3 linked regions of the Caenorhabditis elegans genome follow. The protein of the gene in region 3 purifies or fractionates together with the protein of the main gene of each other region. This does not show direct contact. Each region holds a gene or a part of one and is shown on either strand. Other genes may lie near its edges.

Region 1 (3,841 bases), 3.0 Mb from region 3:
ATTAAGGTTCTACATTCAAAAAGATAAAAACCAATTCAATAAAATTTTGATGCAGATTTGGAATTGCATCCGTCCAGGAGGTTGGTCAACGTGGTCAAAATGGTCGAAATGTAGAGAAGGTATCCGAAAAAGAAGACGAACGTGTAATAATCCTTTACCAATTGGTACCACTTGTTCTGGCCAGAAAGTTGAGAAGCAATCTTGTGCAATTTCTTCAAATGTACCGGAGTATCTTTTTGGATCCTGGACATCCTGGAATCCATGGTCTCGATGCGATTGTGATCGTAGCCTGAGGATACGGTAGGTTCAAACAATTGGGAAATGTACAGTAACCCAAGTTTCAGAACTCGGCACTGCAAAGGTAATTCCTGCGAGGGATGTGACAAGGATTACGAAGATTGCCGCCCAGATGAGTGTCCAATTAGTAAAAAATGGTCCGAATGGACAGATTGGGTGAATTATGGTATGGGTCTCATTACGCTGAAATATATCAACAAATTTGTAATGATTTAATTTCAGGAATTGAGCAAGTACGGTTTTCAGCCTGGTGTTCGTCATCAAACGTGGCGAATACTGAAGTGGGAATACGGAAGGAGACTCAAGACTCAATGAAGCATGGTATTAATTTTAGTTAAAAAATTTCGAAGAACCATAACTTGAAGACTAAATTTGAAAGTTTCAAAGTACAATGTCCACTTTACTGTCTAAATTTTTGTGTTAGTTAACAACATGATAAAAAATTAATGAGAATAATTTCCAGCCAACTGGTCTGAATGGCATATGCATCCAGGAGTTGCATACCGTTATCGTCTTCTTCACAACTCTTCTATTTCCATCGAACACCATCTCTTATCAAGATTCACGTCATCATGTCTTCCCTTGCATTTTGCAATTCCAATATTTTGTTTTTGTATTCTCACGGGTTTCCTTCTTCAAAATATTATTTATTGTGTTGTGAATCGTTTTAAAAGGAGATTCATAAGATTGAATTATTCGTATGATTCAAATCCACGTGACTATCCTTCTCATTTGATTCGTTCTCCGGGTTCCCCGAAAGATGAAAGTTTTTGGTGAATTTCGGATGCTTTCGAGAACAGTCTCTGTCTGCCCATTTCTCACGCCACGATAATAAAAGTTATCATTGATCTGTACAACGAATACTCTGAGTGAGGTGTTTTTAATTCTTATCACTTCAACTCTTCAGTTTTAAGACTGAAATTCTAAAGAAAAAACATCAGAATTAATTATACTTTTAAAGAGAGGCGTACTTTCGCAAATGGGTCTCGCAGCGCAAGCCAACGACTAACAACGACAATACCGCACATTTAAATTCAATTTTAGGATTCATTTTTTCATTTCCAAATTTTTCGGTTTTTTCTATAAGAAAACAGCCGAAAACTTAAGAAAATAATTCCTGCACAATTGTGAAAAATTGTTTTTAAAAAATTGTGCACAATTTTATTAATTAAAAAAAAATTTTTGTGTAGTTTTTTTAAGGGATTTATCTACTTTATCTATAGATTAATTTGCCGAATTGACATACTCTTTAAAAATAGGCCTCAAAACTTTCTATCTCGGAATTTTTCGATCATCCTAAAGTAGTACAAGAATATCACGTTTCAGTTCTCTGCGCGCCAACAATATTTGGCGCCGCCCGTTCGCCGTCTCCCGTTTTTGCGCACACTCTCGGCGACTGTACTGATTCTCTACACTCTCCGCCTCCCCATTTTCTCGACCGTCCATTTCATTTCGCATCACTTCTATTTTTCACGATGGCAACTGTCGGAGGCGCTTTCAAGGACTCTCTTACCCAGGTTTGTTGATCATTCATCATTTTGTAATGCCCTTCTTAGTTTAATTGTTGTATTTCTAGGCTCAAAAAGACGAGCTTCACCAAATCGCTCTCAAAATTGTTCAAGATGGAAAGGGAATCCTCGCCGCCGATGAATCCACTGGTGAGCTATTGGAAAAATTCTTCTAGAACTAGAAAATCGAGATTCTTATCTTCTCACAATCATCTTTTGACAATTTTTCTATTCAATAAGAATTAGCGACTTATGTTCAGAAGTTCAAAAAATAAATTTTCACGGTCTAGCGATCATATTCTGTGCCCTCTATCGCCTCCAATTTTCGATGTTTATGTTGTTGAAATTGGAGATGTTGATGCATTGATAGTGCGAGTGATAGATAAAATTGTAGATAGAAAGAAAGATAACATGTAGAAATGATATTGGGGAAGACCGATTTCTTCTTTTTTATAATGCAGCACATCGTGACCCGATCAATTTGCAGGCACAATCGGAAAGCGTCTTGATGCCATCAACCTCGAAAACAACGAGACAAATCGTCAGAAGTATCGTCAACTCCTGTTCACTACTCCAAATCTCAACCAGCACATCTCCGGAGTGATTCTCTACGAGGAGACATTCCATCAAAGCACCGATAAGGGAGAGAAGTTCACCGATCTTCTCATCAAGCAAGGAATCGTCCCAGGAATCAAGCTCGATCTCGGAGTTGTCCCATTGGCTGGAACCATTGGAGAGGGAACCACCCAGGGGCTCGACAAGCTTGCCGAACGTGCCGCTGCTTTCAAGAAGGGAGGATGTGGATTCGCCAAATGGCGTTGTGTTCTCAACATCGGAACTCACACCCCATCTCACCTCGGAATGCTCGAGAACGCCAATGTGCTAGCCAGATACGCTTCTATCTGCCAGGCCAACGGACTTGTTCCAATTGTCGAGCCAGAGGTTCTCTGCGACGGAGAACATGATTTGGCTCGTGCCCAGAAGGTTACTGAGCAAGTTCTTGCCTTTGTGTACAAGGCTCTTGCTGATCATCACGTGTATCTCGAAGGAACTCTTCTCAAGCCAAACATGGTTACTCCAGGACAATCGAGCGCGTCGAAAGCTTCACACGAGGCAATTGGATTGGCTACCGTAACCGCCTTGAGACGCGGAGTTCCAGCTGCAGTTCCAGGAATCACTTTCCTGTCTGGAGGGCAATCCGAACTTGATGCCACTGCTAACCTCAATGCTATTAACTCGGTAAATTTAAACGAAATGGAATAACCTTATATCACTCATTTCTATTTACAGGTTCAACTCGGAAAGCCATGGAAGCTCACCTTCTCTTATGGACGTGCTCTTCAAGCTTCTGTGCTCAAGGCATGGGGCGGAAAAGACGAGAACATCGCTGCCGCTCAGAAGACACTCCTTCACCGTTCCAAGGCCAATGGAGATGCATCTCTCGGAAAGTACGCCGGAGAAGACGCAGCTGGAGCCGCCGCCGAGTCTCTCTTCGTTGCCAAGCATTCCTATTAAGCGATGACGCATAACTTCCTGTGAATAGATTTTTCGCAACCTCGTCCCCAAGATTGTATAATTTCACTGACCCCGAAATGAAGTTTTATTTCACCGAAATTTTATATTTTATGAAACCCGAAAACTAAAAATCACCAAAAGTGGGAATATTAAGGATCTACTTCAATATATTCAAACAATGCTCTCTTTGCTTCCGAACTCTTGCTTGCTGATATCATTCTTCCGAAGTGGTGTCTGATCAACAATCGATAGCTTCCCTTCTGCACTCAAAGTGAGAAGACATTCAGGAATATTCAGCTCACTCCATCCAAATGCCCAAAGATCATACACCTAAAATCAAATAATCAATTGATCATTCTCTGATCTTCCTCACATGAATGAATATTTGACGGACATGTTTAGTGACAATTGGATCTTCACTGATAAGTTTATGACGCAATTTTACAATGATTCGTTCGACGAGATATGAATTCAAATCGTGAAGAACGCGACCATTCTCGCTGAGAAGTATCCCGGCTGTC
Region 2 (2,977 bases), on a different chromosome or scaffold from region 3:
TTTCTACTCTCAACGATCAGCCCTGTTTGTTTTCTCTTTTTTTTTGATTTTCGGCATTCATTCATCAAGTATACATTCCCGAACTCTCAGATTTAATTTCATTGGTTTTCGGTCGGTATATGGGAAAACGTAGTTTGAGGTTATATTCTGTTAGATAGGTCAGCGAAAAGATTTATGTCGCCTATAAAGAAATGGTCCGTTTGTACATATTTGGCACATCAACTGAACAAAGAAACAATGACGTTTACATGTTTATGGATGACCACGTCATAAAACTAGAGATAATATCTGAATGAAGGAAAGTGTAGGTTTCCGAGGGCATATACAATGTTAAAGGATAAATAATGAAATTGTGTTTTGAATAGTAGTCTAACTCACGAAAATTCTCAAGAAAAATAGATCATAACAAAACGTTCTAATTAGAATTACGTTTTGGTAGATACATAAGTCTAGAGCTGTACAGATCAAGCTGGTTGTCAGAAATTCGATTCATTTTCAGTTTAAACTTAATTGTTCGATACACCTTCTGACCATCTTTCCATTCTGACTTGTAGCATTTAAAGATATGTTTCGATCATTGGAACAAATCAGAAGTTGTCATTGAAACCACAGAATGTTGGTGCTTGACAAAATGAAGAAGTCAAGAAAAGGAGGAACCGACAGTTTTATTTCCATATCAGGAAGTGATCGAAGGATATAAAATGGGATCGACTGAAGGCAGAAACAGGAAAGAAAACGGATTGGTACTACGATTTTAGATGGAAAAACCTCGAAGATGATACACATAAAACGGATAATAAAATATACTGAAAAGAGAAAAATGAGTTCAAGGCTACACAAACAACACCTTTTGTTTCAAATTTTACCTTATTTCATTTCTATGATAAGCTTAAAAAGATGAATGATGTCATTGAGGAAAGTGTTAAAATGAGACGAGAAAGATGTAAAGATAGATCTTCGTATTGATAGATACCGACAAAAGGTCAGACGTTTCATATTGATGATGGTTAGGGAAAAGGAAATGAAGAATAATGATAAAATCATTTAAAAAAAGCAAAAGGCCGGTAAATCGACTGAAAAACACTAGGTTTTGAAAAAGTTGGGAAAATTTTCCATGCAATAGTTCTAGAGTACTTTTTCGCAAGTCATTTCACTTGTTGGGAAAGGAGTTTTAATTTCGAATCGAGACAACTAAAAAATATTTTTTTTAACTTTTGTATTTTGTAGAGTGAAATATTTGATCACACTCCAAGAGTAGTTACTATTTCCGAGCCTTTCATTTTTCACGAAATCCAGATATTTGATATGTGACTTTCAACACAACAGTTCAGTTACAAGAAGACAGAATGAAAATCGAATCTGTAACGGAATTTTAAAAAATCATGAGAACCTCTGTCCGCGTTCTATCTCAATGACGTCTTTCTTAACTTCTGTTCCAATATTCTAAATTTATTCGTCACTACGGCTTCTTTATTGTGTTGAAAAAGTTTCAAATTCAGCGATTTTCCATCGGAAAACTGGTCAACTTCAGCGAACACACTGTATCTCTCTATGTCTCCATACTGTCTCATCTATGATCTACGTGTGGGAGGAGCGAAAGGGCGGCACAGAGAGAGAGATAGAGATAGAGAGGGAGAGAGAAATGACTATGAGCGTCGATTGTATAAAAGAAACTATTTCTGCTGGACATCCCTCATCAGTCGTCTTCTAATACTCTTTCTGATTCACTTAAAATGTGCCGTCTTGCCGTTTTTGCTCTTCTCGCCGTCGCCGCTGTGTCTGTCTACGGACAACCAGCCGGAGGTCAAGATGTTCCACCATTCCTTCGTAATGCCACTCCAGCTCAACTTCAGAGCTTCCAACAGCTCATTCAAGCCAACGGTCATTTGACTGAGACCGCTCTTGACGGAAAGGTCCAAGCCTGGGTTAACCAACAAGGAGGAAAGGTTGCTGCTGACTGGGCTGACTTCCAAAAATTCATCAAGGGACAACAGGGACAAGCTGAGGCTGCTCATCAAGCCGCTGTTTCCAACTTCTCTCCAGCTGCCAAGAAAGTAAGATAATGTGGATAAACCAACTAGATTAAGCCATATATTACGTAAAAGTAAAATCAGATAAACTAGTCGGATTTGTACTAGCACTGCAAATACTACATCTACTAGTTTTCGGAATAAAACCAAAGTATCAATTTTAATCTTTTCAATTTCTTTCAGGCCGATGCTGACCTTACCGCCATCTCCAATGACAGCTCCCTCTCTGTTCAAGCCAAGGGACAAAAGATCCAAGCCTACCTCAACTCCCTCCCAGCTAACGTCAAGGCTGAGCTCGAGAAGGCCCAAGGACAATAAGTGCTGATCAACCAAAGAACCTCTCAATTTTTTTTTGTAAATACCCTCACTCATTCTCTCGTTCTCATTCGATTGATTCCCTTTTTGCCCAAATGAGCTCTAATTCTAATAAAAATCGTGATGCTCTTCAAATTTCAATTGAAACTAGCAAACATATAAAAACTAGAATATTCAGTATAGGCATGTGTATCTATGTTTAGATTGGATGTACACTTTTTATGAATGACTGAGCGGTAAAGTTGACACAAACCTGTTTGTTTGCGCATACTAGTACTTAGGATATTGTGTAGAAAAAGTGCTCAAGTTCAGTTTTTTGAACATTGAAACTGAAAATTTTTAAATCGTAGTAAACTGGACACTGTCAAATAAAAATATTTCATGGTATGAACAAAATAAAGCTTTTAGAGATAAAAAACACGGCTTCATAACTATTGTTTTAAAGTTTTCAAATGATCGATTCTACTTCCAAAAACATATTATTTTCTCTACTCCGTGATATTCTCCATATGAAGAAAAGTACGAGAGACTATCACTTTAAGTTCAAGGTCTCACAATCTCTGATTTGTGATGACCCTTTTCTCTTCTTTTTTCAATCAAACTTAATTTGTTTCCCAATTGTGTTCCAGACT
Region 3 (3,235 bases):
TGATGAATTATTAGATTTTTTGAACGTCTGAAACAGTAATTATTGTTGAGTTGGGATAGCTTTCCGGCTTACAGAAGTTGTCAACTCAGTAATTGTAGTGGTCTCCGACTTTGTGAAATTCGAGGAAGACGTCGCCTTTTTAGAATTCGACACCGACGCCGAAGTATACGGACTCGTTTCACCGGCGCACTTTTCCTGGAAAATGCTTTGTTTTCATGGAAAAGTAGCAGCAGACACCCACCGAACTCTCGTAAGACAGGGACGGAACATCGAAATCAATCGATTCGGCGCGTCCGAGTTGCTTATTGTAGATCATACGTGGCTTCGACGAGTTTTTCAGTGTCTCATCCATGCATGTTTCCTCGCACGAAATCAGCTTCAGGTTATTTTCCGAAGGCGGTGGACGGGGCTTCTTGTCAACCGGCTTGGGGATTTGCATCTGAAAATTCCCCAGTCAGTTGTCACGTCATTTAATTCAAATTTGTTAATTGCTTTAGAGGTTATCCTCTTTTAATTTTCATACCTTCAACTGCTGGACCTCCTCCATGCGTCGAGCCTCTCTAATCAGCTTCTCGTTGTCCATCATTCGATTCACGTGTTTGCCACGTTGCAGCAGTGCCCGAATCGCTTGATCCAAATTGTCCATCGTTTTGACTGTACAATCGCAATTCACGCATTCCATCCTTTTCGCTTGCTTCGAATTTTGAAAGTTAAGGAATAATTGATTTCTGGTTTTGAATTGTTGTTTTGATTTTTTTCATTCAACTTTTCAAACAAATTAGGCTACACGTTTAAATGTTCAATAAATTTTCCATTGGAAAGTTAACGTTAAAAATTAATTGTAAGAACATATGTGAAATGAGAATGGTGCAGTTGTAAAATGTCAAAAAAGTGATAATATGGTTCGAATATTAGGAATAAGGGAAACCCGAATTGAACCTTTTGAGGTTTAGATTTCAAAAATTTCCAAATTGTTTCCAAAGGTTTAACTTCTCTTAAACAACGCAAAATTATCAAAAGTCTGCAAAATATAGATTTTAAAGCAATTGTACATGTCTCGAGAGTAGTGAAAACTGCACTGAAAAAGTTACAGATTGAAGTTTCAGGGGTTGAGCATGAAGCTTTGCCGTTTTAATCTTAATACATTTTCCTATAACTTATTTTTTGTAGTTTAGATAGAATTTATGATTTTTAAAACTCAATACTAAATTTTCAGTAATTTCCAAATGTTTTGATTTTTGAGTTTCCATCTTTACCCAACCCTAATTTACTCTTTTCTCCACCTCGTCTGCCACTTGAAAATTACCTCCGTTATTTGGATGTTGTTTACCAATTTACTGACCTTCAGAGTCGCAAAAATCCCGCCTCACTCCTTTCCGTTCCAAAATGTTAGATAACATTGGAAATGCAGAAACGCAGAGCATCCAAAAGATCATAATGTTTGTCATCATTTGGAGGCGGGAAGGGAAATGGGCGGAGCCGTGCGGACTGGTCAAAAGTCGTTATTTTTCGGCGGTTTGAGGCATTTTGGAAAGAGAAAGAGAGACTAGATGGAAAACATTCACTAGAGTCTCTTTTCTTTCTAACTTTACTATGGTTATTTCTAATTCTTTTTTAATTTTTATTTTTTAAAGATTTATATAAGATTTTACAAACTCCCAATTTAACTAAATATTTTTCAGAGAAAAATGTCGATGAACCGTCAAGAAATTAGTGATCTCTGTGTGAAGTCCCTTGAAGGACGAATGGTTGGAACTGAGGCTCAAAACATTGAGAATGGAAACGCCTTCTACCGTTATTTCTTCACCAACTTCCCGGATCTTCGTGTCTATTTCAAGGGAGCCGAGAAGTACACTGCAGATGATGTGAAGAAGAGTGAGAGGTTAGTATTAACACTGTAAACTTTTTGATATTGGTTTCGATTTTAGTTAGCAAAATTTGACGTGTTTCCTCTAATAGTAATGCACCCCACTACTTCGCTTTTGAAGGTAATAACTAGTTCAATTTTGAAGATACCAATAAATAATTAACTGCACAACAATAGGAAAAGAAATAAAAAACATTTTTCCAGGTAACAATTTTTTTAAAGCTGTTAAAATTAAACAACGGGGTGCTATATTGTAGCGTGTCTGACTAATGGAAATTATCAGCAAAACAAAACTAAATAATTCCAATTCCAGATTTGACAAACAAGGCCAACGTATTCTTCTTGCGTGCCATCTCCTTGCCAACGTCTACACCAATGAAGAAGTCTTCAAGGGATACGTCCGTGAAACCATCAACCGTCATCGTATCTACAAAATGGATCCAGCTCTGTGGATGGCATTCTTCACTGTATTCACTGGATATCTTGAATCTGTTGGATGTCTCAATGATCAACAAAAGGCCGCATGGATGGCACTTGGAAAGGAATTCAATGCTGAGAGTCAGACACATCTCAAGAATTCCAATCTTCCACATGTTTAATAGATCTGAATGTTTTGAGCCTTTATATTGTATTTGAATGAGCTTTGAGTATTATAATGATTATCTCTCTTGGAAACGTTTTTGTACAAAATAAACAAAGTATTTTGACATAGTTCACAGAAAATTAATACGTACTTGGCAACACTTTGGAACTTCAATTTATTGTCCATTTCCATGATGCAGCCGTCACATTGCATGCCATCAAAATATTTATCTTGTTTTTAATTCACCATGAACCAAAGAACCGAATATCTCTCGAACTGACTTCTGATGTTTTGATCTTTTCGTTTTCGAATTGCCTGCCAACACGTGTGAATAGAGACCAACAACATGGCACGTACACTAGCGTTTTACACTTTTTCCTCATTTTGTGTACACTTGAATTGCTTGAATTACATTAAAGCTTCCGTAAATGTTGTGAATATTATGAAGCACGGAATAAGTTTGCGGCACCAAACAAGCTTGGAATACATATCATTTGATTCGACTGGATTCGACTGAACAAAATGCAATGATTATAGTTTTCCACATTAAATAATACATTAACGAAATTTTTGGGATGCTATAAAACAATCAGAACTTACAAACTAATAAAGGTACTCTTGTGATGTAAAAAAATACAGAAAAAAAATCAACAAAAACAACTTACTATTTTGAAACATCACATGAATAGACCAATTGTTTTGGTTTGTTTAAAAATGAAGTGGCGCCAGTAGGAAATTGCTTTGAAATATTCCTATGGCATTCCAATGGCCAAATATCATTGTAA

What was found.
Region 1: the proteins of glb-1 (region 3) and aldo-2 fractionate together in Caenorhabditis elegans (co-fractionation; one large-scale study listed by BioGRID). This does not show direct contact.
Region 2: the proteins of glb-1 (region 3) and srlf-1 fractionate together in Caenorhabditis elegans (co-fractionation; one large-scale study listed by BioGRID). This does not show direct contact.

The regions. Positions count from the first base shown.
Region 1 is NC_003281.10:5,874,253-5,878,093, reverse strand, and holds aldo-2 (Fructose-bisphosphate aldolase 2), read left to right. Parts: upstream 1-1,623; 5' UTR 1,624-1,772; coding exon 1,773-1,814; intron 1,815-1,873; coding exon 1,874-1,955; intron 1,956-2,292; coding exon 2,293-3,044; intron 3,045-3,095; coding exon 3,096-3,320; 3' UTR 3,321-3,416; downstream 3,417-3,841. Other genes in the region: mig-21 (Abnormal cell migration protein 21), read left to right, coding at 1-6, 56-300, 345-463, 520-618, 761-1,074; F01F1.3 (MIF4G domain-containing protein), read right to left, coding at 3,492-3,650, 3,694-3,840.
Region 2 is NC_003280.10:7,788,899-7,791,875, forward strand, and holds srlf-1 (SXP/RAL-2 family protein Ani s 5-like cation-binding domain-containing protein), read left to right. Parts: upstream 1-1,693; 5' UTR 1,694-1,733; coding exon 1,734-2,054; intron 2,055-2,213; coding exon 2,214-2,348; 3' UTR 2,349-2,477; downstream 2,478-2,977.
Region 3 is NC_003281.10:8,921,738-8,924,972, reverse strand, and holds glb-1 (Globin-like protein), read left to right. Parts: upstream 1-1,682; 5' UTR 1,683-1,688; coding exon 1,689-1,882; intron 1,883-2,180; coding exon 2,181-2,466; 3' UTR 2,467-2,574; downstream 2,575-3,235. Other genes in the region: ZK637.12 (uncharacterized protein), read right to left, coding at 1-27, 73-195, 242-439, 524-682. UniProt on the Caenorhabditis elegans protein: May be a globin and may play a role in oxygen transport.